4 linked regions of the Rhinolophus ferrumequinum genome follow. The protein of the gene in region 3 interacts with the protein of the main gene of each other region in a pairwise test. Links are inferred from orthologs where the notes say so. Each region holds a gene or a part of one and is shown on either strand. Other genes may lie near its edges. The genes, in order: ACTL8, RTN4, CERT1 and CSNK1G2.

Evidence for each region.
Region 1: the proteins of CERT1 (region 3) and ACTL8 interact in binary tests that used the Homo sapiens proteins (3 or more experiments, as listed by UniProt). The two-hybrid records come from large-scale screens. The link is inferred for Rhinolophus ferrumequinum from reciprocal best matches to the Homo sapiens genes CERT1 and ACTL8.
Region 2: the proteins of CERT1 (region 3) and RTN4 interact in binary tests that used the Homo sapiens proteins (3 or more experiments, as listed by UniProt). The link is inferred for Rhinolophus ferrumequinum from reciprocal best matches to the Homo sapiens genes CERT1 and RTN4.
Region 4: the proteins of CERT1 (region 3) and CSNK1G2 interact in binary tests that used the Homo sapiens proteins (3 or more experiments, as listed by UniProt). The two-hybrid records come from large-scale screens. The link is inferred for Rhinolophus ferrumequinum from reciprocal best matches to the Homo sapiens genes CERT1 and CSNK1G2.

Annotation. Positions count from the first base shown.
Region 1 is NC_046292.1:11,733,985-11,741,994, reverse strand, and holds the start of ACTL8 (actin-like protein 8), read right to left. Parts: upstream 3,016-8,010; 5' UTR 2,978-3,015; coding exon 2,630-2,977; intron 412-2,629; coding exon 1-411.
Region 2 is NC_046296.1:32,571,195-32,578,068, forward strand, and holds the start of RTN4 (reticulon-4), read left to right. Parts: upstream 1-3,871; 5' UTR 3,872-4,062; coding exon 4,063-4,615; intron 4,616-6,874. UniProt on the Homo sapiens protein: Required to induce the formation and stabilization of endoplasmic reticulum (ER) tubules. They regulate membrane morphogenesis in the ER by promoting tubular ER production.
Region 3 is NC_046290.1:48,143,896-48,151,038, reverse strand, and holds the start of CERT1 (ceramide transfer protein), read left to right. Parts: upstream 1-4,142; 5' UTR 4,143-4,157; coding exon 4,158-4,240; intron 4,241-4,372; exon of another isoform or gene 4,373-4,492; coding exon 4,493-4,889; intron 4,890-7,143. UniProt on the Homo sapiens protein: Shelters ceramides and diacylglycerol lipids inside its START domain and mediates the intracellular trafficking of ceramides and diacylglycerol lipids in a non-vesicular manner.
Region 4 is NC_046301.1:61,248,335-61,255,504, reverse strand, and holds the start of CSNK1G2 (casein kinase I), read left to right. Parts: upstream 1-4,150; 5' UTR 4,151-4,306; intron 4,307-7,170. UniProt on the Homo sapiens protein: Serine/threonine-protein kinase. Casein kinases are operationally defined by their preferential utilization of acidic proteins such as caseins as substrates. It can phosphorylate a large number of proteins. Participates in Wnt signaling.

The sequences.
Region 1 (8,010 bases), on a different chromosome or scaffold from region 3:
CCGCTGCATGGGGGTCAGCTCCACGGGGGTGCCATCCGGAAGCTGATAGGTGTTACTCTCATCAGAGCCACTCGGCAGGTTCTGACGGAAGTCCAGAGCTTCCCCCAGATTCTGTGGCACATAGCATTTGCTCATCTGAGTGGTGGCAACCGTTTCCAGCTGAAACAGGTTGTGTTCGTTGCTCTCTTCCTTAAAAAGGCTCTTGAAGAGATAGGCAGAGAGATCCTGGCCCGCAAACTCCAGCGTCTTACTGCTGAGCCGTAACGGGTGGCCCAGATGGAAGGGCTGCACGCGGGTCAGGCCGTAGCCAGAATCGACCACCACGCCGGTCAGGAGGCCAGAGGCGTACAGGGACATTGCCAGCTGGTCAGCCAGGAGCAAGGACGGGACATCCAGTAACTCAAACATAATCTGCAAGACGGGGGAAAGCAGACACTCAGGGTGCTTTCCTAGGACAAAGGACCCCGATCCATTTCTGTTTTCCCCAAAACCATGCTACATGCAGCTCTCAAAACTGAAGTGGGCACAGACAAGTATCCTCAAGGGACTGGCGGGCTGCCCCCAGGACACTGGGCCTAGGGACCCAGGAGCTCAAACTGTGGGGATAAGGGAGGGGCTCTAGAGGATTAGAAAGTCAGATGTGCCCTTAGGAGCGTGTCTGATGACAGTCTTTCAGAAGACCATTTTGGGGGAGGGGTAGAAATACACTGCAAGAAATAGCTGAGATGCCTGGCTTTGTGATCACTGGGGGATGGCGGGGGGAGGGGAGGGGCACGGCCAAGGTGGGCAGAGGTGCAGCCTGAACCACTTCTTTAGAACAGGAAAGAAGAGATTAGAAAAGAAACAAGTGCAGCCTGTCCACCACTGCCTCCCAAAAACAGGGGGTGTAAAGAAAGAAAGAAAATACCCTCACCTCCGTGTAGGTGCAGACTTAACTATTTTTTCATAAAAACTTTTCAGATATCAAGCCAAAAACTGGAATTCTGATATTTAGCATTTGGCGAAGTCCCTAAGCTGATGTTTCTCCCCCTGTCCATCACCCCCTCGATCTGTACAGAGCACCACCTCCCCAGGTCCCCAGCTCTGGGTGCACCCCCAAGTTTCTGACCCCATAGAGGCAGAAAGGCTGTTGCAGTGCATCCTCCACGCCTCGCAGCCCTGTCTTCTCCGCTCAGTGGGAGGGAGCTCCCTCCAGTCCCACTCTCGGAATAATGTCCCGACTCCCCACCCCACACCCCCGCCCCCACCCACCTCCCAAGGTTCTCTTTTCCAAATAGAAAATCACATGTGACTCCCCACTTAAAACTCTCCAGGAGCGTTCCTTCATTAGAGCAGGGCTTGGCAAGCATTCTCAGTAAAGAGCTAGATCGCCAGGTTGGCCAGGTCTAGCAAATAAAAATATAGGACACCCAATTAATAACACCCATTAAAGCATTCACTTTGACACTGGAAAGAAAAATATATAGGATGCCCAGTTAAATTTGAGTTTCAGATAGACAAATAATGATTTTGTATAAGTACGTCCTGTGCAATATTTGGGATATACTTACCATGTTTCCCCAAAAATAAGACCGAGTCAGACCATCAGCTCTAATGCATCTGTTGGAGCAAAAATTAATATAAGACCCAGTACTATACTATACTATATATCATATCACATATCATATCATATCATATTATATCATATTATATAAGACCCGGTCTTATTTTACTTATAGTATTTTTGCTCCAAAAGATGCATTAGAGCTGATGGTCCAGCTAGGTCTTATTTTCAGGGAAACATGGTAAACTAAAACATTATTTGTTGTTTATCTGAAATTCCAGTCTAACTAGGTATCTTGAATTTTATCTACAATAGTACGTATTTTAGGTTTTATGGACTCTATAGTCTCTGACACAGCTCTGCTGTTGAAGTGTAAAAGTAGCCAGAGATAATATGTAAATGAGTGGGCGTGGCTGTGTTCAAATAAAACTTTATTTATAAAAACAGATGTTGGGCTAGATTTGGCCTTCCAGTTGTAGTTTATCAACTCTTGATTTAGAGTAAAATACAAACATTTCCCACAGTGTACCAAGCCTGCCAGGTCCAGCCCCTGTCAACCTCACCTTCCCGTCTCCCTCTTGCCACCCTCCCTCCTTTACCGGGCTTCAGCCTCACTGGCTGAAATCTCCTCCTCAGAGAAACCCTCCCTGCTCACCCTCTTCAAAAGGGCTCCCTCTATCCTCACCAGTCAGCTATCACCCCACTTCATTTTGTTTCTAGAACTGATCCCTCTGGAATTCTTTTTTGGTAACGTATTCGTGGTCAAGTCTTCTCCCCCAGAAGGTAAACTCTTTGAGGGCCGGAATCCGATCCGTGAACATTTGTGGAATCCACGACTGAATGTCCGGTATCTCCCTGCAGGGCCTTTTCCACAGAGCATTGTTCCTGCTGTGTCTCGATGGGTGGGGGGGAGCCCTCTGTGAGTCCCTCTTGCCTAGCTCAGTGCCGGCACAAACGAGGTACTCAGGAAACATTTGGGGGCCAAGGCTTAAGCAAGCAGACTTCCTGATGCCCAATCATGTCCAAACACAAAGTGCCAGCTGTTCCCCCCCGCCCCCCGTGACGGCCGCCCTGAGAAGGCCTTACCTCCAGGGTCTTCCGTCGGTCCGCAGGCTCCCTCAGGGAGCACTCTGTGACCAACACAGGAGACTCCTCGTGCTCCCGTCTGTGTTTCTCTAGGACAAAGGACCAGATGTGCTCCACGCCCTCCCAGTTGAGGACGCGGCCACGCTGGATGGGGTAGCTATACGTGTCCGGATGGAAAATGTCAATGCCGAGACCCAGGCGCCGCCTGGCGTAGCTGGGTCCGGGGTTCTCCCTGCACGGGCTGTAGTTCACGACGCTTGGGAAGATCATCTGGGGCTCGTTCCAGCCGGAAAAGCCAGACTTCACAAAGCCAGACCCGTGATCGATGATGATGGTTCTCGAAGCCATGGCAGAGGCAGAGGTGGGAGGGGTCTGACGAATTTGGCTCCTCGAGGCTGTTTGGCAAACTTGGGCCACCTGTGGAGGGAAAGGATGGGGGTTACCTGTGAACCCATTCTGGGACACCGTGGGCTGCTTCCCACTCTCCAGCCACAGCCAAACCTCAGGCTCCCTGGAAGCCTGTCCGTTCCCCCTCCCAAGCGTTTGCACAAGTGATAACTTGTACCTAGAGTGTTCTTCCCGTCCCAAGCTCCCAACTGTCCTACACGGCCTGCCTAATGGGCCCATCTGGGAAGTCCTGCCGGCCCTTCCTTCCCACCAGGCTTCTCCCGTTGTACTTTGCACACGTGCCACAAGAGCACTTCCCGCTCCACAAGAGCAGAGGATGGGCTCCGTTACTCTTTGCAGATTCGGCAAGAAGCCTGTCCTCCAGGAGGCACTTGGTGGTGGTTGGCTGCCTGTTGGAGGGTACAGGGAACAGAAACCATCAGCCTCAGGGCCCACCTCCCCCAACAATCATACTGCAGTCGCCACAGCAGCACGAGCAGGAGCAATAGTGACAACGACAAGCTGGTGACAACAGCGATAGCGACCATTTCCGGGGTACACACCCTTTCTCTAGTATAAGAGAGGCATTTTGCATAGTCAGTTGAACTGTGTGAAACTGTTACTCGTGTCGGTCAAAAATGCCATATGGTCTGATCTAATCATTGAATCCGCATCACAATTATAAAGCAGTTACCGTCCTTACACTTGTTTTACAGATGGGGAAACTGAGGCACAGAGGGGTTAAAGTTACTTTCCCAGGGCCACACAACTGATCAAAGCACAGCTGAGGGTTACGCCCAAACCAGACTCCACAGGCCATGCTCTGAGCATCAGGCAAGCTCAGAAGACGTGGGGTTTGAGTATGAAATAAGCAGCTAAACTTAGTATGTAGAGGAGGCTGTGAGTGAGACGTCTAACCCAGAATGCGGTCAGCTGCCTCATCTGTAAAGTGAGGGTAATAATAACCACCAAGCTGAAAAGGGAGGTGTGGTCACTACCTGACTTCCGGACTTCCTACAAAACGACAGTAGCCAAGACAATGTGGTATTGGTGAAGGGACAGTCACACAGATCCAGGGAACAGGATGGAGCGTCCAAAAATAGAGCCACACAAAAAAAGGTCAACAGATCTTTGACAAGGCGCAAAACCAATGAAATGGAAGAAGAACAGTCTTGACAACCAATGACAGAGAACAACTGGAGATCCACACGCCAAAAAATATATACTTTAAGGTATGGAGTACCATGCACCTTATCATAATTAAGTCTAAATGGACCACAGACCTAAATGTAAAATGTAAAAACTATAAAATTTTAAAATAAAACTTCGGACAAAATCATGGTGACTTTGGTAAAGTTTTCTTAGCTATAATATTGATAGCCCAATCAAATCCAGAAAAGAACAAATTGGGTAAACTGGACTTGGTCACATTTGAGAACTCTGCCCTTCAAAAGACACTGTTAAGACAATAAAAAGACAAGCCACAGGAGACAATATGTACGAATCACATATCTGATAAAGAACTTATATCCAAAAACCGTAACTCGTAAAACCCAATAATAAGAAAAACAACTCCATTTTTTTTTCAGTGGGCCAAAGATGCACATACGTCAGAAAAGAAGATATGTGGCTGCCAAACACAGGAAAAGGAAAAGGAAAACCACAATGAGACACTATGGGGATGGCTGGAATTAAAGAGCAGCTGTTCTGAGTGCTGGAAAAGAAATGGAGGATCTGGAACCCTCACTCACTGCTGGTGGGGATGCCAGAGATGTCACTCTGGAAACAGTTTGGCAGCTTCTTGGAACGTTAAGCATACACCTCCCCTACAACCTCGTTTTTCCACGCCAAGGTATTTACCCAAGAAAAATGAAAACGTATGTTCCCACAAAAACCTCTGTGCCCAAGTTTATAGTAGTTCTAGTCATAATCACCAAAAACTAGAAACAACCTAAAAATCCTTCCCCTGGGGAATGGATAAACCTATCTCCATTCCATGGAATAATACTGGGTAATAAAAAAAGAACAAATAACTGATACACCTAATAACATGAGTAACTCTCAAATGCATTAAGCTGAGTGAAAGAAGCCCGACGGGAAAGGCTCCACAATGTATGATTCCATTCATACGACATTCTGGAAAAGGCAAAAAGGAAAGGACAGATCAGTGGCTGCCAGGGGCAGGAGGGGTTGGCCCCCGGGGTCATGGCGGAATTTGGGGGTGATGCTAGGAACGCTGCTGTATCTTGTTTGTGGAGGTGGGCACACAACTAGATGAGTTTGTCGAAACTCTCCCAACTAAAGAGTGACTTTTACTCTAAATACAAAATTTTCAAGGAAAACTCCAGTGAGTGTGGGGACAAAGGAGAGGTTTAGGAAATCACCTTGCAGAGTACAAACTGCCACACAGACAGCAGACTCGGTGCCTGGGCACCTCAGATAAGAGAGACAGCCAGGGACGCCATTCGGCACGGAGGCCGTGTGCTGGGGCTGTCACTCCAGCGCTACCTGCTCTGCCTCAGTTTCTGGCCAGCAGTTGCATCTGCCCATCACTGTGGAAGCATGACAACCGCTGCCTGGCCCTGGCCAGTGGCTCCCTTCCGTCACCAGCCTGGGGGCGGTGATTAGGTGTCACTGCCTTGAATTCGCTCTGACATCAGATGGGCAGAGCAAACAGGAGAGAGACGGAGCCGAGGTGCCAGTCTCTTCCCTCCCTGCTGGCAGACTGATTTGATGGAGTCCTCACCCCGAGTCACCCAGAGTGAGGGAGAACCGGGCATTTGAATGACATTCTGGGAAGCGGATTCTGTCACCCACCTCCCCGCACAAGAGCGGGGTCACTGACAAATGCTTCCTCGCCTCTGGCATTTGGAATCACAGATGCCGGCAGGGTGATTGGCCACTGTGGCTGTCAATCAGGATGCCCACTGAGGGGGCCTCCTGGCTGGTGGACCTCCTGACCGGGGCCTGGAAGCACCAGGGTGGGAAGCTGGGGGCCATTCCTCCCCTGGACCATGACTATAGGAAGAAAGTCCAGATGGCCCCAAGGAGCGAGCTCTAAGAACAGAGAGAAAATCTATTCAAAAGCATTTTTACCAAGTCACCTATCCTACCAATCCCTATTGAGCGCCGATTATGTGCTAGTTAGACTGCCGTGGTTCCTGCCCTCCTGAGGCTTGTAAGCTACTGAGAAAGACTGTCAGTCAGCACCAGATGAAATGTGTCGTGCCAGGGGGATTAGTGCAATGAAGAAAAATTAAATCTGGTAAAAGGGACAGAGGCATGATGCTATTCTAAATAGGACAGTTAGAAAAGTCCTCTCTATAAGGTGACATGCGAACAGAGAACTGAATAAAGTGAGAGAATAAGGCATGTGATTACCTGGAAAAGCATTTCAAGCCAAAGGAACAATAAGTGCAAAGGCCCTGAGGAAGACATGGCTAGATGTGTTCCAGGAACAGCCAGGAGGCCACTATAGTGGGACGTGGTGGGTGCAGGGAAGGGTTTGAAGACTGTGATGGGCCACGCAGACCTTTGTGCTGTGCTTGGAGAGGTGGGAAACCGCTGGGGGGTTGAGCAGAGAAATGACACGGTCTGACCTCAGTTGTGAAAGGATCATTTGGGCCGATATGAAGAATAAACTGTAGAGGTCAAGAGTAGAAGCAGGAGATTGAAGGGCCGAGAAAGATGAGAGTGACCTGCATTAAGGTAGTAGTTGCGAAAAGGGAGCAAAGTGGTTGGATTCTGGATATATTTAAGAATGATATCTGGGAAATCCCCAAATGTTTGTAAATTAAACAATGCAAGTCTAAATAGCACATGGGTCAAAGAAAAAATTAGGAAATATTTTGAACCGGATTAAAATAAAAATACAACCTATCAAATTTGTGAGATGCAACTAAAGCAGTGCTCAGAGGGAATTTATAGCATTAAATGTGTGTATTAGAGAAGAAGAAAGGGTTGAAGTCAATAATGTAAGCTTTCACCTTAAGAAAATAGAAAAATAAGGATGCATTAAAGCAAAAGGAAGCAGAAGATGGAAATAACAAGAAAAAAAATCATTGAAACTGGAAACAGGAAACCAATAGAGAAAAGTCAGTAAAACCAAAAGTTGGTTCTTTGAAAAGATCAATAAATTGATAAACTTCTAGTCAGACTAAGAAGAAACAAAGAAGACACAAAGGACTGATATCAGGGATGAGGTGACATCAGTATGACAACTTAGGTAAAATGGACAAATTCCTTTAAAGACATAATCTACCCAAGTTCTCTCAAGAAGAAATGTATAACCTGAAGAGCTCTGTAATTATTAAAAGTGATTGAATTTTTAGTTAAAAACTTTCCAACAAAGAAAACTCCAGGCCCAAGTGACTTCACTGGTAAATTCTACCAAACATTTAAGGAAGAAATAACGCTAACTATACACAATTTCTTCCAGAAAGCAGAAGAGGAGGGAACACATCCCACCTAATTCTGTGAGGGCAGCATTATCTTGATACCAAAACCAAAGCTATTACCAAAAAAAGAAAACTATAAACCAAACTTTCTATGCATTTAGGTATAAAAAATTCTCAATAAAATATTAGCAAAATCAGCAACATATAAAAAGGATAAAATGTATCAACTAACTGGGACTTATCCTAGAAATGTATGGCTGATCAACATTTTTAAATCAGTGTAATTCAAAACCACGTGACCACCTCAATGAATGCAAAAAAAGCGCTGGATAAAATTCAACACGCATGCATAATGAAAACTCTCAACAACAAGGAATAGAAGGGAGTTTCCTTAACCTGATACAGGGCATCTAGGAAAACACCTACAGATAAGATCATACTTAATGGTGAAAGACTGAAAGTTCTCACCACTCATATTCAACAATTAACTAGAAGTCTTAGCCAATATAATAAGGCAAGAAAAAGAAATAAAGGGCTTAGAAATTGGAAAGGAAGCAATAAAACCATCCTTATTTGCAGAAGACATCATTGTCTATG
Region 2 (6,874 bases), on a different chromosome or scaffold from region 3:
TACACCAGATTAGGTGTCAATATAAGCATTCTGCAATAAGCTATAGTTCTATAGAGACTGAATGGGCTATTTCCCTAAGTCGTGAGTCTCCCTTTACTGAAAATGTTCAAGCACATTTGTGTCTGATTGGTTCAGTGCTGTATTCCTGAGTCTTGAACAGTGCTTGTGGCAGAGTAAGTAGCCAATAAGTATTTCACGTAAGAATGAATAAAGCACACAATGGAAGCATAATATAGATGTTTCAATTAGCTTTTGCTGTGTAATGAATCATCTCCAAATGTAATAGTCTAAAACAACGATTCATTCTTTCTCATGATTCTGTGAGTTGGTTGGACAGTCTGAGATGGTTTCACATTTCTGGGACATCCGCTGCATGGCTGGGCAGATAGGTCTCTCTCTCCATGTGTCTGTCATCTTGGGCTTCACCGTTTCAAGACAGTGAAAGTGGAAGCCGTAATATCTCTGCTGGTTAGGCTTAGAACTCATTCCCATGGCATTGTATTGGTCAAGACAGTCACAAGCTCAGAAGAGGTAGGGAAATTGATCCGACTCTTAAAGGGAGTCATTGCAGTATTTGTGGCCATTTTCAATCTACCACAGACTAAATTTAAAAACCTTTTTTGCAGGGAATTCTTATAAAGGGAGGGAAATTGGTCAGGCTGCTCTTTCAGAGTCCTTCCAACTCTTAGATTCTATGACTCCACCAGACTGAATGGATCTCTTATAGTGTACTAAGAGAGAACAGTTATCACCCATGGTATTTAGAAACTTTAATCTTCTACATCTGGTATGAAAATTTCGAAGATAATTCATTGAATAAGTATTTTCTAACTATTATTATGATCTAGAGTTTATATTCTTCCTTTAATCATGTCAAATACCCACCAGAATTTTCTTGTTAGTGAGAATGATATTTTCATTTACACTAATGTGTAATTAACTCTACTTTTAATTCTGGTATAGTACCAGCATTCTCCTTTCCTTATGCTTTGTTGACCATCCTATGAACACTGGGTAAACTCTTTACCGTTATTCATCCATCAGATACTTAATTTTCTAGATTTCACTGAGATCAATAATATAAAATTCTTGTTTTTCTTCTGTGTCAAAGGAGAGTGCTTATATTACTGCCTCAGTATTTAAGGTTTACTATTAAAGTTGCAAATCTACCAATTTTTCTGTAATCATTCTTTGGTGACACTTAATACAGATATTTCCTTGTGACTATTTTAGTAGCAGGTACACAGATATATTAAAATAGAAATATCATATAACCAACTTGCAAGTAATATATGAAAACCCTATGAAACTTTCCGTTAAGGAGTTTCAGACAATCATAGTGAGAAAAACAGTATGGGGAAGACTGAACTGCTGATAAATAATTGTGACTTAGCAGAAAAAGCTCAGATTATAAAAATTTTGTTAGTATATTTTTGTATGTGTATGTACGTAGTTGAAAATCATTACAAAGCATTTGATAATTTTTGACAAATGTTTGACAAATACTCGAAACATCATTTTAGTTATCATTGTAGGAATCTGTTTTAAAATTTTCAGTTTGGCATTAAACTTCCTGTCCCAAAATTCTATACTAATACTTTTCTCTTCCTATATGCTCCCAACTTTTCAAACAAACAAAAACTCAAAGCAACTCACAACCATTTTGTATGAATAAAGCCAGTTCATCTTTGTGGAATTGATATGCCAGGTCTTGACTGTATTGTTGATAATTCACCTGATCTGGTAACATTTCTAGGAAATCTTGTTCTACCTTTCCTTTTTTTTTTTTTAAAAAATTAATGAACTTTATTTCTTAGTTTTACATTAACAGAAAAATTAAATAGAACAGAGAGTTCTCATACCCTCCCATGAGAGTTCTCATACCCAACCCCGACCAGTTTCCTGTTACTAACATCTTGCATTGGTATAGTACATTTGTTGTAACTGATGAACCCATATTGACATACTATTTACTAAAGCCCAAAATTTAGAGTTCACTCTTTGTGTTGCATAGTTCTATGAGTTTTGCCAAATGTACATCATGTATCTTTCATCATAGTATCATACAGAATAGTTTCACTGCCCTAAAAGTCTCCTGTGTTTCACCTATTCATCTCTCCTTCCTCCCCCTCAACCCCTGCCTTTCCTTTTAGTACTCTAATTAAGTGTAGGATAATACTAATTAGTTGGAGCTAAGAATTTGCTTAAATAACCAGTGATTTCCCCACGGCAATCAAAATTTCTTAATCATTAATTTAGACCAGCACTGTCCAATAGAAATATATGAGCTGTATATGTACTTAAAACTTTCTAGAAGCTTCATTTAAAAAATAAAAAGAAATAAGTTAAATTAACATAATATACTTATCTCAATATATCCAAAATAGTATCAATTCTAATATGTAATCAGTATAAAAATTGAGATGTTTAACTTTTGTTGGTACTAACTCTCAAAATGTAGTGTGCATTTTAAACTTACAGCACATCTCGTCTGAGACTAGTTACATTTCAAGTGCTGAACAGCCACAAGTAGCCGGTGACTATGGTATTGAACCAACCGTGCAGGCCTGGGCAGTCAGCAACTTTAAAGCAAGTTATCCTCTCTCCAGGGCCTCCACATTAGGCATGCAGCAAAGACTTTTGAAAGGTATATCAGAAAGATAAAAGGGCTCTCTAAATCTCTGGATGTTGATACTTACATGTTCTGCAACCACTTTCTTTAAACTCTCCAGTTTTGGAAAAAGTGGAATGGGAATCATGCTCATTCTGGCATATCAAAGAAATGAGCATTGGGCTTCCTGCTCCCAGAAAGCCTGAATCATCTGAAATGTTGACTCATGAACCTAAGGTTCATGAAATGTAATGTGAATCAAATTTGCCTTTCAAGGCATCATTCTATTTCCATTTTCCTGTCTCCCATCGTCCTCTAAGTGACTCATCCTACCATGTGAGAGTCCAGCATTGAGTAGATCCCAAAATCTTCCTGGAAGGAAATTAGTGGACTTTCAAATGGTCCACCCCAGACTCCAGATACCGTGTTTTCCCAAAAATAAGACCTAACCGGAAAATAAGCCCTAGCATGATTTTTCAGGATGACATCCCCTGAACATAAGCCCTAATGTGTCTTTTGGAGCAAAAATTAATGTAAGACCTGGTCTTATTTTCGGGGAAACACGGTAGTCCAGCCCAGCTCTGTTTTGCCTACCTCATTGAGGATTTGCAAATTAGACTGGGAATGATCTTAAAACTGTCAAAAATTTTTTTCTTTAAAGGTGGTGATAGTAGTAGTGATGAGGTGGTCTGGGAATTTAAGTTGGAAAAAATATCTTTTATTTCAAAATCTTTAAAAATTTAACGTATATTTCAGTCCTTAGGGCGTACTACATAGTCCGGTTAGTACCTTTCTCCACTCTGGGTTTTTCCTTTCCTGGGAGGAAAGTTTCCACCCCCAACCTCCCAGGATAACGCCCTTCCGGTGGCGCGCCAGGCACTTCTCCGACCCTTCAGGGCAGGCAGCTGGCTGGGTTTCACAGTACTCTAACTACAGACTGACCTCCAACTGCGGGCAAGACCGAGACCCCAGCCCTAACCCTCAACTACCGAAAGTGGAGGGTGGGACTGCCAGTTTCAAACCCCGCCCATCGAGCCCGGTAAGCGAGGAAGAACAATAAGACCCACCCACTTCCATCTCTTTTCCTTTCCGTTGGGCCGGCTAGTTGCCCTTCGTCCGGTACCCGTAGCCGATTGGCTCCCTTCCTCCGCGCCCGCCCTGCCTCTCCCTGCTGGGGAGGGTGAATCACGCCAAACTGGGCGGAGAGGCGGCTGGCCTCTCTCGTTCGCTCTTCTGGGCGGCGGCGGCAACTGGGGACTGGGCGGGTGGCGCATCACGGGCGCGGAGGCAGGAGAAGCAGTCTCATTGTTCCGGGAGCCGTCGCCACTGCAGGTCCCTCGTTCGGCCCTGCCCCTCTTAGTCCTCCCCACCCCCCACAACCGCCCGCGGCTCTGAAAAGAAGCGTCCCCCGCGGCCGTAGCAGCTGCAGCATCATCTCCGACCCGGCAGCCATGGAAAACATGGACCAGTCGCCTCTGGTCTCCTCGTCCTCGGACAACCCGCCCCGGCCTCAGCCCGCGTTCAAGTACCAGTTCGTGAGGGATCCCGAGGACGAGGAGGAAGAAGAGGAGGAGGAAGACGAGGACGAAGACGAGGACCTGGAGGAGCTGGAGGTACTGGAGAGGAAGCCCGCCGCCGGGCTGTCTGCGGCCCCAGTGCCCACCGCCCCCGCTGCGCCCCTGCTGGACTTTGGCAATGACTTCGTGCCCCCGGCGCCCCGGGGACCCCTACCGGCCGATCCCCCCGCCGCCCCGGAGCGGCAGCCGTCTTGGGACCCGAGCCCCGCGACGTCCGCGGTGGCCGCGCCATCCCTACCTTCCACTGCTGCAGCCTCGCCCTCCAAGCTCCTCGAGGACGACGAGTCCCCAGCCCGGCCTCCCCCTCCTCCACCGGCCAGCGTGAGCCCCCAGGCCGAGCCAGGGTGGACCCCTCTCGCCCCGGCCCCCTCCGCGCCCCCCTCAACCCCGGCCGCGCCCAAGCGCAGGGGCTCCTCAGGCTCAGTGGGTAAGTGCTTAGCCCTCCCGCCTCGCGCCGCCCCACGCGCCTCTCCCTCCTTTGTGTGCAGCCTCAGCTGCCTCCGGCCGAGCCCTCCTCTCGGCCCCGAGGGGGCTTTGTCTGCGGACCTCAGGGAGAAGGCGTCTCCCGGGTGGGAGCCGCGGGGAGCGGGGTGGGGCGGCGGAGGAAGCCCGGGTTTGTTCCTCATTGTTTGTCTGGGTATCGGGGAACACGTGCACCCCGCTCGCTCCCCATTCCACTGCGTTCCAGAAGTTAGGCACCCACTCCTAGTAGTAGGAGCTGGTTGTGAATAGAGGAACTAGGGTTGTGGATTCATTGGGCTGGCGTGGTTCTGGGGTGAGGATGGAGAGGCCTTGCGGTAATCTTTTGTCTCCCGGTCTGGGTTGCTCCTAGGGAAGGGCGCAGTTTGGCTCCTAGTCTGTTTGCCTGCTTTCAGACCTGGCCTCCCTCCTCACCCCCTTCCTGGCCTGGGTGACTCCCTTGCGCTTCAGCCCCCTTTCCCTCCTTTTGCCCTGGCTGAGAGCTGGCCCATTGGAAAACGTCCACATTGGCCCAGCTGCAGTGAAGGGAGAGCGCCTCCAGTGGTGTGGCGCGTGGAAAATTGGGAAGGAGAGAGTTCTGGAGAAGTCCTGCCACCGCCCAGTTTACCCCCGGTTGTGATGTGGCGACTCCCCACCAGCTAAACTGAGCCTGGGAAATGCGATCTGGCCATTGTGTTTCGAGGGGGCGCAGTCCTGCCAGGGTCTCAGCTGCGGAGTGAGTGGAATTGCTGTTAGTGTGAACAGGTTTAGCCTCTTACTGCATCATGCTTGATTCGTAGGGAGGGGAAAAAAAGGCAAAATGGTTGCTATCTTTAAAGAAGGAAAACCTGTGGATTCCTTGCTGGGAATAGGCTAATTGAACTTGTGGCAGATTTACCATGAGACTTATGAAATGTTTTGAGACAGGTTTTCATTTATTGGTTAGCAATATTATTTCTTAGAAGTTATGTTTTAGGTCGACAGACAAATCTGCATAGTCCGTAAATAGTTTTCAAATCTTTTTATTCACATGAGTAGTACCTGATTACACATTATTATCAATTTATTTTTAGGAATATTGTTTTATTACCTTTTTCATCTCGGGAATTGTTTATTTTAGAAGAGAAAAAATCAAGTTTGTTAGAGATTGAGAATTCATTTTATCAGGCAAATTATTAACTAATTTACAAGTAACTTGTTAATTTTGGAGCAAAAAGTGTCCCACTAACAGTAGGACCTTTCTTTATGTGTAAAAGGTAAAGAATAAGGTAGTTTTACTGCTTGCTGAGAAATCTTACTATCATTGTAGGATTTTGGAAATCGTTCATTTTCTAGAAAAATAAAATCAGTCTGAGAGCACGGAATTTTTTTTTTTCTTGCATTCACTCCTCTACAATTGGAATATAAGCCAATTGTGATGTTTCTGAATAACATTTTGATATTGACATCCTCCAAAGCATTAATCAAAACACTAATTACTACACTAAAGATACTAGAAGATGAGGAATAACTCACTTTCCTTTTTCTGAATCAAAAATACATTTGAGAGAAACTAAGGTGAGGTAGAAAAAGATAAAGTAATAGGAAATTTGCAGAAGGGAAATTTAATGATTAACAAAAGCATACTAATTTGTCCTCTTGTATTCCTGCATGGTAACAAAGAGAAGAGTTCTGTTCTTTGAACATTGGGGATTTGGGAGGTGACAGCATTCTCAATTTTGACTTTTGGAAGACAAAGAAGAGAGAATATTGCCTTCCCATCCATTCTATCTAGTTTCCTAATTCTTTATTGATAATGCCTATTTGAAAACTGGTTTATTTAGTAAATGCAGGAACATCCTGATTATGGTCATGGATACTTAAGCTATTTCAGTGAGTCCAGATTTCTTAAAAGACTTTGTTGGTTCATTCAACTGCATATTGACTGTCTGCAGAGACAATGCACTGTTGGGCTATGATATATATGATGTACAGTGATAAGCAAGACACATGTGCTCCCTATGGGGGAGTACAGATAATAAGGACATAAATCAGGACCTTACAATAATTGTGTTATAAGGAAAATAAACAGGATGATGGCATGGAGAATGACTGGAATGTGTGCGGGCCTTCCTAGGTAGGGTAGGCACTGAGACAGGCCTTTCTGAGGAGGTGAGATAGGAAGTGCAATTAAAAATTTTTGGGCAACTCCTAGGAGGCAAAAGCCTTGAGGCAGGAATGAGCTCTG
Region 3 (7,143 bases):
CCTTCGGAGTTAGGAGCATGGAGCTCCAACCGCCTGAGCCACCGGGCCGGCCCCGATGGGGCATTCTTAAGAAATGTTGCAATCATCAATTCTCTTGATGGTGAAATGGAAAATGTGTGGAAAAACAGGGACATCAACAAGTATACGGTGGAAATTAATTTAGAAGATTCTGATTGTAGAGAGATTAACAAATCCTTAACTAATTTATATCACTTATAATTACCTTCTATCATAAAAGTGATACATATAAACATACATACATATACTCACACCTATATACATTTTGTCTTCATTAAAAATACAACAGTATAAAAAGAAAATTCAAGTGGTCCATAATTTCACCACCTAGATAATTATTAAAGACATTAAAATAGAGTGAAAAAATATCAGCTGTGTTATTCACATGCCGTATTTTGTTATTTGTCCTCTAGTTTTAAGACTGTTGCTATTCATAGATTATTACCTCTGTTTCATAGATTAGTATCTCTAAGGTTCCAAAATCACGTTTCTTATGTAAATCCGCAATTTTTAACTGGTTATATCTCAGTTTGGAACAGCAGTATAGAGAACAATTAAATTCCCAGGCTAGCTAAAAAAGGACTATTTAACTCAAAATGCATCATCAACATAATAAATACTGTGGAAATATAGAACCTGCAACCTCTGTTAGGGACTAAAATTCATTATGAAGCCCTAACTTCCAATGTGACTGCATTTGGAGATAGCGTCTATAAAGAGGTAATTAAAGTTAAATGAGGTCATAAAGGTGAGGCCCTAATCCAACAGGATTGGTGTCCTTATAAGAGGAGGAGGGAGGGAACAGAGCCATCCAGTCTGTGGTATTCATATTTTGTTATGGCAGCCTGAGCTAACTAATAAAGGCTCTTTATAGGATCATCTTAAAAAATTACAGAATGATTTTAGTTTTAACTTGGGACATCCTGGCCAGCTCTGGCATCAAGTTCTAGCATCAAGAGTAAATATTCCTCTTCATTCCTCTACCTGCTGATCAGTAACACTGCAAACATTCTCAGTTCCAACATCTCTGGGTTTTTGGCTTCTGTGTCTTGGCAGTGGGAGTGGAGGGCAAGGATGAAGGCTTTGGGATTGGTGTTTAGTGGCGACAAAAGGTGAGAGAATGAAGTGAGGTGGAAGAAGGGAGACATAAGAGGAATTGAAGAACTCTAGTGGGATGAGAATGAACACAGGAATCAGGATATTTGGGCTCAAAATGCAACTATGATCTTTGCTAGCTGTATGAATGACCTTTGGAAAGTTATTTAGTTTCTCTGTGGTTCATTTTCTTCATGTGAAGTATTAGAAATAGAATAGAAATAATAAATTTTACATCGCGGTTAAATAAGACAGCATAGACGCAAGGGCAGGGTAAAAGAATGCTGTTCAAAATCATTAGCTGAATTAAGAGTATAGTTGCTGTGATATACTTATCTACAGTTTATATTATTTATTTACACAATTCTTCCCTCTTTTAGAAGTATTCAGAAGCAAAGAAAAGGGTATATCTTCGAAATCATATAGATCTGTGTTCAAATCCTAACTCTGCCACTTAGAAACTATATGACACTGGGTAAGTTAGTTTCCCTGAGCTTCAGTTTCAAATTCTTTAACATGAAGCCAACAACATTCACTTTATATGGTTTGTAAGGAATAAGACAGATCAGGTATATAAAGTGCCTGACCAAAGCTAAGACTTACTATTGTAAAAATGTCATTTTCTTCATAAATTAAGTGCATTCTCAATCCAAATCCCCATAGAATTTTCTATACAATTTGACAAGCTGTTCTAAAATTCATTTGGAAGAGAAGATACACAAAAATATCCAAATGAAAAAGAACATCAGGAGAATTTTGGTACTATATATATGGGAATTGTATAAAGGTAAATAATTAAATAAGTGTGGTATTAGCATAGTAAGTATAGACAAAGAGAACAACAAAAAAGAATGGAGTCCAGAAATAGACCTACATATATGGAGATTTTGCATATCACGTAAACATAAGGGTAAGAATAGACTATTCACTAAAGTGTTGGATCAAGTCGCTGTCCTTAAAAAACAAATTCCTACCTCATTCCATATACAAAAATAAATCCCAGGTGGATTCATGTTCTAAAAGTAAAAAACAAACATACAAACAAAAACTACCAAGTGAGAAAATATAGGACATTTGTAAGAGGCTTGGGGTAGGCTCTAAGTAAGACAGAAAATTCAGAAGCCATCACTCTCACTATAAAATAAAGAGAAAGAACATGTATTTTATTCTTGTATTGCAGTTTCTTCCCATCAACAGTAATGAAGTGAATCCCAACCTCTAATGTGGTATTGTAATCAGTACACAAATATATTTGTAAAATTAAAAAACAATTTAAATAGTCTTACAAGCTTAGAGGAAGATTGTGGCAAAAAAATCTGTTTTTAAAAGGCAATTTCTCTCATATTAATATTATATACAATGAAACAATTTCCTACTGAGTAAGTGGACATCTTAATGATCTAGGAGCTAGTAGTTGTGATCTAAGTGCGGGAGGTTACAGCCACACACAACTTAGAAATGTATAAAATACAACAGAAATTTCCATTTAAAGATAAACATATACTGTTCTCCCATTGTGAATTCTTCAACAATTCACAATCATTTGCTCAGGACTAATGACATTTTAACACCTACAGCTTAAACATATCAGAAATAGGAAGTCTAACTACATGAGGTAATCGGGAGGCAAAACAAAACTTAATTGCTATGGTATTCAACATTCTAAAGGAATAATTCAGTAATTCCATAGCGAGGAAAAAACGCACTATGTGGGTTTTTTCGTTTTTCTCTTTTGAATGACAACCTTGGGATTATGTTTTCATTAACACGTTGACAAAGTGTTTTCAAAAGCTTTATCTCAAGATTTCATTCATCTTAATGGCTTTCAGTTAGCACTTGATTTCACAATGAAAAACAATTGGTAACCTATTTACAACAGATTCTGCATCTATAAGTGTCAATCTTGGAATGGAAGAGAGTTACTTCTCAGAGACACTTCCTATCATTCCTTTTTTTTCCTGAAGATCCCAGTGAGATCGCCTCTATCCCTATCAGACTTATTTCTGGCCACTGTGCCTTTTCCACCAAACTCAAAATTTCACTCCTATCTTCTCGTCTCTGCAGTATTTTTTTCTGTTTCAATAACGAATTTTACTGTTGGCAATTATTAAGAAATTGACAAAATTGTAAAAGCAACAAACGAGAGGAAAGACCTTAAGCTAGCTACAAAAAGATCTAGAAGTCATCCTTATAATGTATGCAAAAAGACTAGACAAGAGCTGTTAGATCTTCTATTGGTCTTTTCACTAATTCTGGTCTTAAAACAAAGCTAGCCTATTACCTAATCCCTTAGTATTCAACAAGACTACTGCACTTTGGTCATTCTTAGAGAAAAAAGCTAATAACTTTTCTATCTTTCATAGAGAGGTAGGTCGGTAGAGATGGTTAACCTGGGTCTCAGGAAGACACTCATTTACAACTAAGAGAAAACTCCAGGCTATCATGTCACACTCTATTTTACTTTAAAAACTTCAAGCGTGATTGAATCTCTGACATCTTCAAAATTACTTCCACAGAAATAAAACTGGAAATTAACAACGCGAAGCGCTTGCTCTGGTGAGAAGGAACTGAAAATTCTTCCTTCAAAAGAGGGAAACGTTGTGAAGTCTAATTTCTAATGAGCGAGATGAAAGATCTTCAAAATTTGCTGAGGTAGTTTGCGGAAAGAAACCCCCTTGTCATTAGAGAGGTCGCAACCCTCTGGCCCGGCGTTGAGACGAAAGCACCCAGTACTCCCCGCCCAGACAAGCGGCGGCAAGATGCTCCCGGGCTTTCGGGAAGCCGCCATGGAAGGCAGGCCCGGCATCCTCAGCAGAGAGCTATCTCAGGTCCGTCCGCGCAAGCCGGGCGGGTTCGTCACAAACACGCTACGCAGAGAGAGAAGCGCGGCCGAGGGAACCGGTCACGCAACTGTCAAACGAAGCCCACCCATCGCTTGATCGTCCCCAAGGCGACAAGCCTTCCCGGCGCGAAACACTCACCAGTTGCTTCAGGATAGCGACTACAACTCCCAGGAGATCACGCGGAGCCGCGTCCTTCCCAGAATGCAGCACAGCAGCGTCCCCAACACTACTCCTGTCTCCGCTCCTCCTACTTCTCTACTCTGCGTCACCCGGGAGGGCCGAAGGTAGGGTGCGGGAGGGACCCCAAGCCTTCGGCGTGCTGCGTCAGACGTTGGCGGGTGGGTGGGGGACGGGGCGGGGACCTGGGGGAGAATGGGAAGACGTAGAGGAGGGCAGAGGGGAGGGGAGGGTAAATAGTGGGCCAGGCAGGAAGATGGCGGCGGTAGCGGAGGTGTGAGTGGACCCGGGTCTCTGCAGCTGGATTTTCTCTTCCCTTTTTCTTCCCCCTTCCTTTTCTGTTTGAGATTGGCATCAAGGGGGGTGAGTTCGGGTGGCGGCGCCGGTCGCAGCGCAGGAGTCACGGCAACGGTGGCGGCTGACGGCCGGAGGGACAGGTTTCTTTCGCCGCTTGTCTTCCTTCCCGGGTCCGCTCGGTGTCAGGCGCGGCGGCGGCGGCGGCGCGTGGGGTGGACTTCGTCCCTTCTCCAGCACCCCCCGGTGCCGGAGCGCGCACTCTTCCCTTTGCCATCCTCCGACGTTTCACTCCGGGGACTGAACGCCTCCTCCGGCGCAGCTCAGGGAGCGGGGGCCGGTCTCCTGCTCTTCAGTCGCGTCTCCATGTCGGATAACCAGAGCTGGAACTCGTCGGGCTCGGAGGAGGATCCGGAGACGGAGTCTGGGCCGCCTGTGGAGCGCTGCGGGGTCCTTAGCAAGGTGAGCAACCCGCGGGGCCAAAGGCCCCCTGCTCAGACTCACCTGCCGCGAGGCGAGCCGCTGAGGGCATGGGGTGGGGCTGGGCGGGAGGCACGGACTGTCCCGGGCGGGGGCTGCGGAATGTGCCGGGGTGCGTTGCTGAGTTCTGCCGCAGGAGTGCCGGGGCCACGGGTTGGAATGGGGAAAGGGGGTAAAGTGAACTGTCTTCTTTGCCTGCCCTGGGGGGTCGGCAGCCGCTGAGGACCGGGGAAACGTGTTCCAACCCCAGATCCAGTTTGGGAGCGGGATGCGCACCATGTCTTGGAACTGAGGGCGGCAGCTGTCCCGGGCATAGGAATCCAGGTTGGGCAACGGCGGTATCCGAAAAACTGGGTATGGGAACGATGTAAATCGATCCTCTCAAACGAGGTTAGTCCGGGTATGCTGAGCAGAATAGGGTTGGGGGATTCTGGGGACGCGGCTGTTTAGACAGCAGCCGGAGCAAGGAGACTTGGTGCTGAAATCTGAGGGGGTGAACTATGCCAGCCAGGTTAGATGTAGGGAGAGATCTCAATAAGATCTTTTGTGCTTTTCCCCTCACCCTTTACCCCAGTTCAGAAAAGAGCTATTGAATAGGCATGTGATAGGTACAAAATTGTATTCATCGTAACTTGGAGCATATCAGAATGGAGACTGACCTTTAGTTCAGAAAGAAGAACAATATTTAATAATAAAATATTCTTGCAGTCAGATGGCCAGAGTAAGGAAATGACGTTACCTTTCCCGTATTTTATAAAACCCCTTTTTCAAAATTTTAGCAAAGCAGTCATTTGTAGGACTCTAAGGCTAATTAGTTAAAATGGATGAAGCCCTTTTTAAGAGGGAAGATGGGTGATCTTTTGCTAGTACATGGGAGTTTGGGGGTTTTGTTTGTGTTTACTTTTTTTCCTTATAGTGTTGCTATGAGAAGATGCATGTTGCCTTTTTTTTTTTTTCCATTTCTTTCTCCCTTACTGTTAAACTTTTAGAAATGGATGGAGCTAGCAATTAACCTGGAGAAGGGGGAGCTGGGGCCAGCCTCTCAACAAGCTGGTCATGAGATACTAGGTCATGTGCAGCTCCTGGCTATTAAGAAATCACCCTGCTTCCAATATACATACTTGGCTTAAGCATTTGGACATCTTGGAATTGTTTCATGTTAGATTTTTATATTGTCTTCAAAAGGCTGATGAGAAAGGGCCTAAGAAGGGCATGAGTATGTCAGCACTAAGGTTTATAAGTGTTAACCCTTATTTACGTAGTAGAAAAATTACAGTGTGTTAATACTGTGATCATTATTGGAATTTCATTGAAAGGTTTTCAGTGAACGGAAGCTCTCTAGGCTTTCTTTAAATGTATCTTGTGATTCAGGAATCTGTGTTGAACACATTGTATAATAAATACACATTTTCAGATGCAATTGTTATGAAATGGGTTCTTTACTTTTCAGTGGTTCTGGTAGTTTCATCACTTTTCTCATTAGATGAGAAGCAGACTTTCAGATTTAGTATTGTGGTAGTGTTAAGTATTTTACAAAACAAGCTGTGCGTTTGACCCATTGACACTTTTTGGTGATTGTTGTAACTGGTGGAAAGAGTCACTAGTGCTCTGAGTATTCACCTTATGCAGAGCAGTGTAGTTGGTATACTCTGGAAATGTGGAATAAATGGAAGACTATCTCTTTGATATTTAAATGCATAGAAATGTGGTATTTGACCACTTCTGTGGTAGCTAAGTAACTTCAGTTTTGTTGCATGCTTAGATCAACAGGAATATAGGTTTTGGTGGTATTCTTATTATTTCCCCGAAATATAACAATTTATGGTTATATGTAATGTTTTCTGGAAACTTTTTAATCAAGAGTATTTTATATTTAATACATGTTTTAAAATTTAAAGTAATATATATTTTGAGCCCTTTGTATTCATTTGGTAATTTAAGCACAAGTTAGAACTCAGCATCTTTTTTTTTCCTTCTGTTGAGTAATTCAGGTATGTCCCACTACCAATTTGATTTGTTTCTTAAACCAGTCCAAAGTTGTTTATTTTTTCCTATATGGTAATCTAAAATACATGAAAATACTTATGAAACATCTTTTTATGGAATTTATTCTTAAGCACGTAGGTTCTAGGAACACTGGATAGACAATAATTCTAGTTTACTCTAACAAATATCAGGATTAATCATGGTTGGGAAAAGCTTCATGCCTTAGTAGGACTTGAGAGCAACTAAAGAC
Region 4 (7,170 bases), on a different chromosome or scaffold from region 3:
CAAACAGGGAGGATTAAAACAGCAGAGATTTATTTCCTCTCAGTGCTGGAGTCCGGAAGTCTGAGATTAAGGTGTTGGCAGGGCGGGGTCCTTGGGAGGCCTTGAACAAGAATGTTCCAGGCCTGTCTCCCAGCTTCTGGTGGCTCCAGCGGGCCTCGTCATTCCTGGATTGCAGATGAATCACTTCAGTCTTTGTGTCGTCACGTGGCCTGTCCCTGAGCACCTGTGTTCAGATTTCCCTCTTCATATAAGGACACCAGTCACTGCGTTAGAGCCACTCCTACTCTGGTGTGACCTCATTTTAACTTAATTACATCTGCAAGGACCCTATTTTCAAATAAGGTCCCATTCACAAGTACCGGGGGTCAGGATTTCAACATATGTTTTTGGGGGACGCAATGCAACCCATAACATTGACCAAATCCGGGTCCACACCTGTATGATTTTCCTGGGGTCACCATAACAAAGCACTACAAACTGGGTGGCTCAAAACAATTTATCCTTGTACATCTGGAGTGCAGAAATCTGAGGTCAAGGTGTCTCAGGTCCCCGCTCCCTCCAGAGGCTCCAGGGGAGGGTCCTTCCTGCTTCTTCCAGCCTCTGAGGGCTCCAGTGTCCGTGGGCTGTGGCTGCATTACCCCAATCTCCCCCTCTCTTGTTTTATGGACATCTTCTCTCTCTACCTCTGTCTTTGCGTCTCTCTCTTTTTCTATAGTTTGTGTCCTTTTAATAAATACCCTTGCATAGTTATATGCATGTCTCTCTTCTTATAAGGACACCAGTCATTGGATTCAGGGCCTACCCTAATCTAGTACGACTTTATCTTAACTAATTACATCTGCAGAGACCCTATTTCACATTCTGAGGTTCTGGGTGGACATGAGTTTGGGGGGATGCTATTCAACCCTCTACCTTTTCCAAACCTTGGTCCTCTGGAAGTGGGGTGAAGAAACTCCTCATAGCTCCTTGTGACAGGTAGGACACTTCATGCCCCACGCTCAGGTACTAAGTCATCCTGGTTTCCTGGGAGTTTGGGGTTTTAGCACTGACAGTCCCAGGAGACCTGGGCAAACTGGGGTCCCCTACACTGTATCACAACAATGGGGAAAGCAGATGCCTGAGAAGCCACACATGGCAGAAGGTCCCTATCTGGTAACAAGTCAGGTAGGATGCTTCCTCCTACGCAGCAATCCCAGACAAGGATCTGATTGGCTCATTCTGGGCCAATCAGAGATGGCTGGGTGGTCACATGGTACAGACCTGGTTGCTGGGGGCTATTCTCAGAGGATGGGGGGGCCCCTAAGGTGGACAGTTCACCCCAGGAGCTTCTGCACCCTCCAGGCCTCAGTTTCTTCATGGCTGCCCCTCACCACCTCTCTCATGTGTCTTCTGGCCTCCGTTTCCCCTCCATTGCTCACAGTGGAGAGACAGAACTTTGACTTGTCCCAATCAGTCGTGAGCATATGGCATCAGGCTCTGCCTTGGGTGGAACACCTTCTTACACTACAGCCACTGGGATTGGGGTGTGGGGGGTCCCAGGCTGCCCCTCAGAGTAGTTGGAGCCAGCACTACCCACCTGTGGAAGGCAGCAACATTGCAGGTTTGAAGCCAGGGTACGATGGGCAAATCCCTTTGCCTCTTAAACCTGTTTCCATCTACAGCTGGAAAACAGGAATGTGCATGTCCAAGTGAGTCCCTGCTCCGTATGGGGAGGGGCCTGACGGCAGGCAACACTCATTCCATTCAGTCGGACAAAACGGAACCAGGACACCTGCTTGGGCTGGTGCTGGACACAGGGACACAGCCCTGGGCCTCTCCTGGGGTCTGTCCAAGCAGGGGGAGACTGATGGATCTGCTTCTTGTAAGGGTAAAGAGACAGAAGGGGTGCTTCCTGCCATCTCCTCCCCGAAATCCACAGCTGTTTAGGATTTATTGGGAGGCCAGGATATTGTTTGACTTTCTGGGGGGTGGCGGGGAGACCAGCTCATCCTCTTTACAGTGTTCTTATTATTTTAACAAGAGCTCCAAAGGGGCTGTTTCCCACTCCAGCTTTCCCAAATGGTGTCCCCATGATCAAAGCCAAAGGACGCAGGAACATGTGGAGCACATTTGAAGCGGGTTAAAAATGAGAAAGATGGAAAGGCAGTTTGCTTTTTCAAAGATCCCAAGTGATTAATTAGAAAGAAATATGTTCGTTTGAGGCAGAAGGTCCTATGCTGGCAGTTCTTTATTCATTAACTCATAGATTCCCGCCATGAGGGGGCTATCGTTAGTCCTAACATACAGATGAAGATGTGGAGGACCAGAGAGGGTCAATGATCTACTCAGAGTCACACAGCCTCTGACAGGCACAACCCCTGCCTTGGCCTCACCTCCTCCGTTCTTTCAGCTGCACAAGCCTCCCTGCCTTTTACAGGGGCAAGGATGGAGCTCGGGTTTAGGGCTCAAATACCTCTGGAGGATAGATCCTCTGCCCTCCTGGGAGCTGAATTTCTTAAAAGCAGATGTTCCTGAATATCAAGAAAGGGAAAGGACAGGAGAGATAGGGCTTGGAAATATGAGGAAATGAAACCCCAAGTTATCCAGAATCTGGGAGGACCATGGAGTTCATTTGTTCTTTCATTCATTCATTTGCTACACACAGACTGAGTGCCTAGTGTATGTACAGGCAAAGCAGTGAGCAAAGCAGACCTGGTCCCGACCTGGCGTGGCTGGCAGAGGAGCTTGATTTTAAACAAACACACTCCTTTATGGTAAGGCTCAGGTTGGAGAGGATCAAGATGCAATGAGAAAGGACAATAGGGGATACGGCTGGGGCTTCCTGGAGACTGCAACACTGCAAGTGGGACTGAAGGAGAAGTACTGGGCCGAATAAGCCCTAATGCTTGCCTCTGCCAGGGCCTGGCTTGGCCCCAAACCATTGCCATTCCACGGTCCCATTCCAGTTTAATTGTCTTCCCCCATCTGGTTACTTACTGGTCAGCAGGACAGTAAGTAATCAGAGACCATGGAAACTTCTTCCCATCTGGTCACACGTAGCTTTAGCCTGTAGGGTGTGGCCCTGTCACTGCCCCACGCCGCCTTGACACCTTCTGAAACCACTGTGTCTACTTATTTATTGTCCTGTCTCCTCTTCCCCCCCAGGACTGAGGACTCCTTGGAAAGTGACGCCAAGAATACAGCTCACGTTCTGTTCTGAGAGCCGCTGGCAGGCACTTAATACTTGAATGGATGAGTATCCTCTAACGTTAAAATACCCCCAGGAGGCACGCCGGGCATGCGGGAGGGCAGGCACTGTTTCTCCAGGTCCTGTCCCGGGTGGAGCAGGGCCTCACAGCGGGGCCTTGGTCAGTCACCCCTCCCCACGCCTCCTCTCGGTCCAGGCAGTAGGCGGTGGGCGGTGGATATTATCAAATGCCAGCTGCGTACAGGGCCTGTGCTCCGCCCGGCGGCCCAGCAGCACCCCAGCCAGGCCAGCTGCCTTGGGTGACCCACAGCGGAGGCAGCCCGGTGCTGATCCCTCCTTTACTCCTCACTGACGTCACCACTTATTAGGACACTGCGAAGACCATCCACACCGATTGCCCATCACCCTAGACTGTTTTCACATCCTGGCCCCACCCGACCAGTCCCCCGCCACCAGCCCCCGAAGTCGACCCATCTCGGCGCCGACCACGCCCCGCGGCACCGCCCGGTCGTGATGTCAGGTGGCGAGACCGTGACGAAAGAGAAGTGCGGCCGGTCACGCGTCGCCATAGCAACGGCGGGGCGGGCCCGGGCGAGTGGCGAGAGCACCGCCCCCCGAAGGGTGGAGGCGGCCCGTTTCCCTCCGCGTGCGCGCGTCCCGGCACCCGTGTGCATTCGCTGGCCCCGCGGGAAGAAGCCTGACTATCCCGAGGCGGCCGCAAAGCGCAGCGGTCGTCGCGCGGCGCCACCCGCTGCCGCAAAGCAGCGAGCGCGCCGCCGGGCCCCTCCCCCCCGCGCTGTGACGTCGGCGCGCGCCCTGCGGCGGCGGAGGCGGCGGCTGCGCAGTGAGCGCCGGGTCCTCCCCACGACGCTGGCGGCGTAAGCGCGGGCCTCGGCGACGCTACGAGACGGGCGAGCCGGGCGCCCGCGCGGCGGGGACGGCCCGCGCCCAACATGCGGAGGCCGGCGGCGCGGGAGCGGAGGCTCGAGCGGGCGCCGGAGCCGGAGCGAGAGCGGGTCCCGCAGTGGGGGACCGCGCCGCGCTGCTGAGGGAGCCAGGCCGCCCAGCCCGGCCGGCCGGCCGCGGGGCCACGGCCACGGCCACGGCGGAGGCCGAGAGGTAACGACGCGCGCGCCCTCGCCGGCTGCCGCGGCCACGCGCCCGGCCCTGCGGCCCCACCTCCGCGGACTCCGGTACTTCGCCGCCCCTACAGGACCCCAGGACCCCAGCACCCCGCCGACCCCCGCACCTTAGACCCCTCGACCCTTACAACCCGCACTCTGGACCCCCTTACCCCAGCTTCTTTTGCCCGTACAACCCGCAGAACCCCGCACTCCGAACCCTGCTGCTAACCCCCACTTCCACTGACTCCGCACTCCGATCCCGTTGCCCCAACAGCCCCGTGACTCCCACACTCCAACCCCTCTGCTCCTACGGCCCCCTGACTCCCATACTCTAGCCCCAGCCCCTCACCCCTTACTTCCTTCACGCCAGACCTTGCCCCTTCAGTGACCCCCAAACTCAGACCTTGCCACTTCTGCCTCCCGCTTATCCCCACAGTCCAGACCCGGTTTCCCCCCACTATCCCCTCACTCCAGGCCCAGCTGCTCCCACTGACCCCGCACTGCAGACCCTGCTCTCTCTCACTGCCCACTTGGCCCCACCTCACCTGCCCCCATCACTGTCCCCCTGTGCTCAAGCTCATTGCCCACTCCTGTGACCACCCAGCTCTCTCCCTTGGACCGCCGCCCTTGCCCACCTGGTGCCATCACCCCTCCCAACGCTGGTGCACATATTTCCCCCCACCCCGCTGTCCTGAAGGTCTTGGGGAGAGCTGGACCCTTGGGGTGGGGAAAGGGTGTGCAGCAAAGAAGGGTCTCAACCAGGGTGACCTGTTGCGGGGTGCTGCTCAGGCTCAGCCTGGCTGCGCCCTCCCCCTTCCGCCCTCACCACTGGCTTTGTTTTCCGGAAACACTTTAGATCAGGGAGGGGGTGGTGAGAGGTCTGTGCCTCCTTGGTGGCCGGCCACACTCATCCCGCCACTGATCCCTGCCCTGCCTGGGACGGTGCTTTCCCTGCCCTTTCTGCCCCAACTTTCTTCCTGGGGAAGCTTTCACTTAGGGGCTGGGGATCTGAGAGAAAGCCTCACGGTGATGTCCAAGCTGTCGTCCTGCGCAGGCTCTAGGGCAGCTGGGTTATTCCCGCATTGTTTGCAGGAAATGGTCCTGGAGGGTTCTGTGCTTGTAGGTGGAGTCTGGCGTTTTCTCCCCAGTGCCTTCCACAGGGGAACCCAGGCCTGGCCAGTGTCTGGAACTCTGGGGGTGGGTCCTCCATCCCTGTCCCCGGGGACACAGACAGGCTCAGTTGGCGTTTGCCAGCCCCCACAGGGGCGCCGGTAGCTCATGGGTGTGAGATGAGTGGGGAAGCACAAAGGCTCCGATCTGGGGGCAAACCGCCTGCCACCCATGGGGAGAGCTCCTCTGATTAGGGAAGGGGTGGCCGCCACTGGGGAATGGAGTCGTCTCTGTGAGAAGAGCAGATTGTGAGCAGGCCCACAGGTTTGAAAGGGGGAAGTTTGCCGTTGTTGCCAGTAGTTGGTTTCTGTTTTTCGTACTAAATTGTGCCGAGAAAGGAACCACTCTGGGCTCTGCAGAGCGAGGGGATGGGGGTGGGGAGGGCTGGTGCAGCGCCCCCAGAAGTCTCCAGGACTGCAGGTGTTTGTTGCTTTGCCTTCAAGGAACAGAATGGGAGGGCTGCTAGGGGCACTGAGGGCGGGTTAGATCCCAGGTTTGGGAGCCAGTTGTGTCTGCTGCCCTCGGCAGGTGGAGGGAGATCTGGAAGGAGCTGGCTGGACCCTCCACCCCAGGATGGGGGAAACCCCTGGGGCTCTGCAGTGGTGGTCGTGCATGGGTTTGGTTTTTCCATGCACCGATGTCAGTCCGCCCTTGTAAAGCGTCTTCCTGTCTGCTTCTGATTCCTTTCATTTCTCTGAAGTGGATGGGACGGGCATTTCATTACCTGGCTCTGGGCGTCCCTTCACGGTGACGACAAAACCCTGTGCAGACTGACTTCTTTGAACTGCCGGTTCTGGTTCCATCTGACTCTCCTAATTACATAGTAGTTATCTCTGGGTTGCAAGAGGAAGCAGGTAAGTTTTTTTTTTGTTTTTTATTTTTTGTTTTTTTAACTAAAAGCCTTCCTATGTGCTCCTTCCAGTTTTGGGGGAGCCAGCACGCCAGCCAGTAATTTGGGAAGCAAGTCAGCTGAGAGGCGTCCCAGACAGCTGTGGAGCCCCTTGTGTCCGTGCAGGTTTACTGGTGGGTCTGAGCAAGGTCCCTGAGAGGCTGACCTTAGGGACAGGGGCCTCTCTCCCAGGGACACCCAGTCATACCTTGTCCCATGGTTAACTTTGCCGCCCCTCCTGGATCCCAGGCCACCTCAGGAGCAGTGGGGCCCCTCATTGTGGTTGTGGAGTCGGTCCCTGTCTTGGCATATCCATCCTTTCTGGGCCCAGAAAAACCAGGGCTGAGCAGGCAGGGCAGGGAGCTGGGTGCAGGGTGGCCAGGGGCCTCCAGCCTTCAGGCCTCCCGGGACGTTGATGGGATGCAAGGCGCCTCTCAGCCTCGGGCCTCGGCTTCCCTGTGTGATACGGTCACAATGGTCACAAATGGGCAGTGACGAGTGCTTTGGAGGGACAGTATGCCGGTAGCCTCGTTAAAAAACAAAAACCAACAGGTGAAAATCATTTTAATACACTTTGTTTAACTCGATATGTCTAGAACATCATTTAAACATGTGATGGGTGAGAGACAGCTTATTATTTTTTCTTTGGGTGTGCATTTTATGCTCAGGGTTCATTTGGACCCTAAATTTTCATTGGAAATGTTTGGTTTTAAGAAATAGACATTTTTGAGTGGAAAACAGCGCCTTTGGGACCAGTGAGTCCTGGGAGGTCTGCCAGCTGCTCTGGGTCGTGCGTGCCC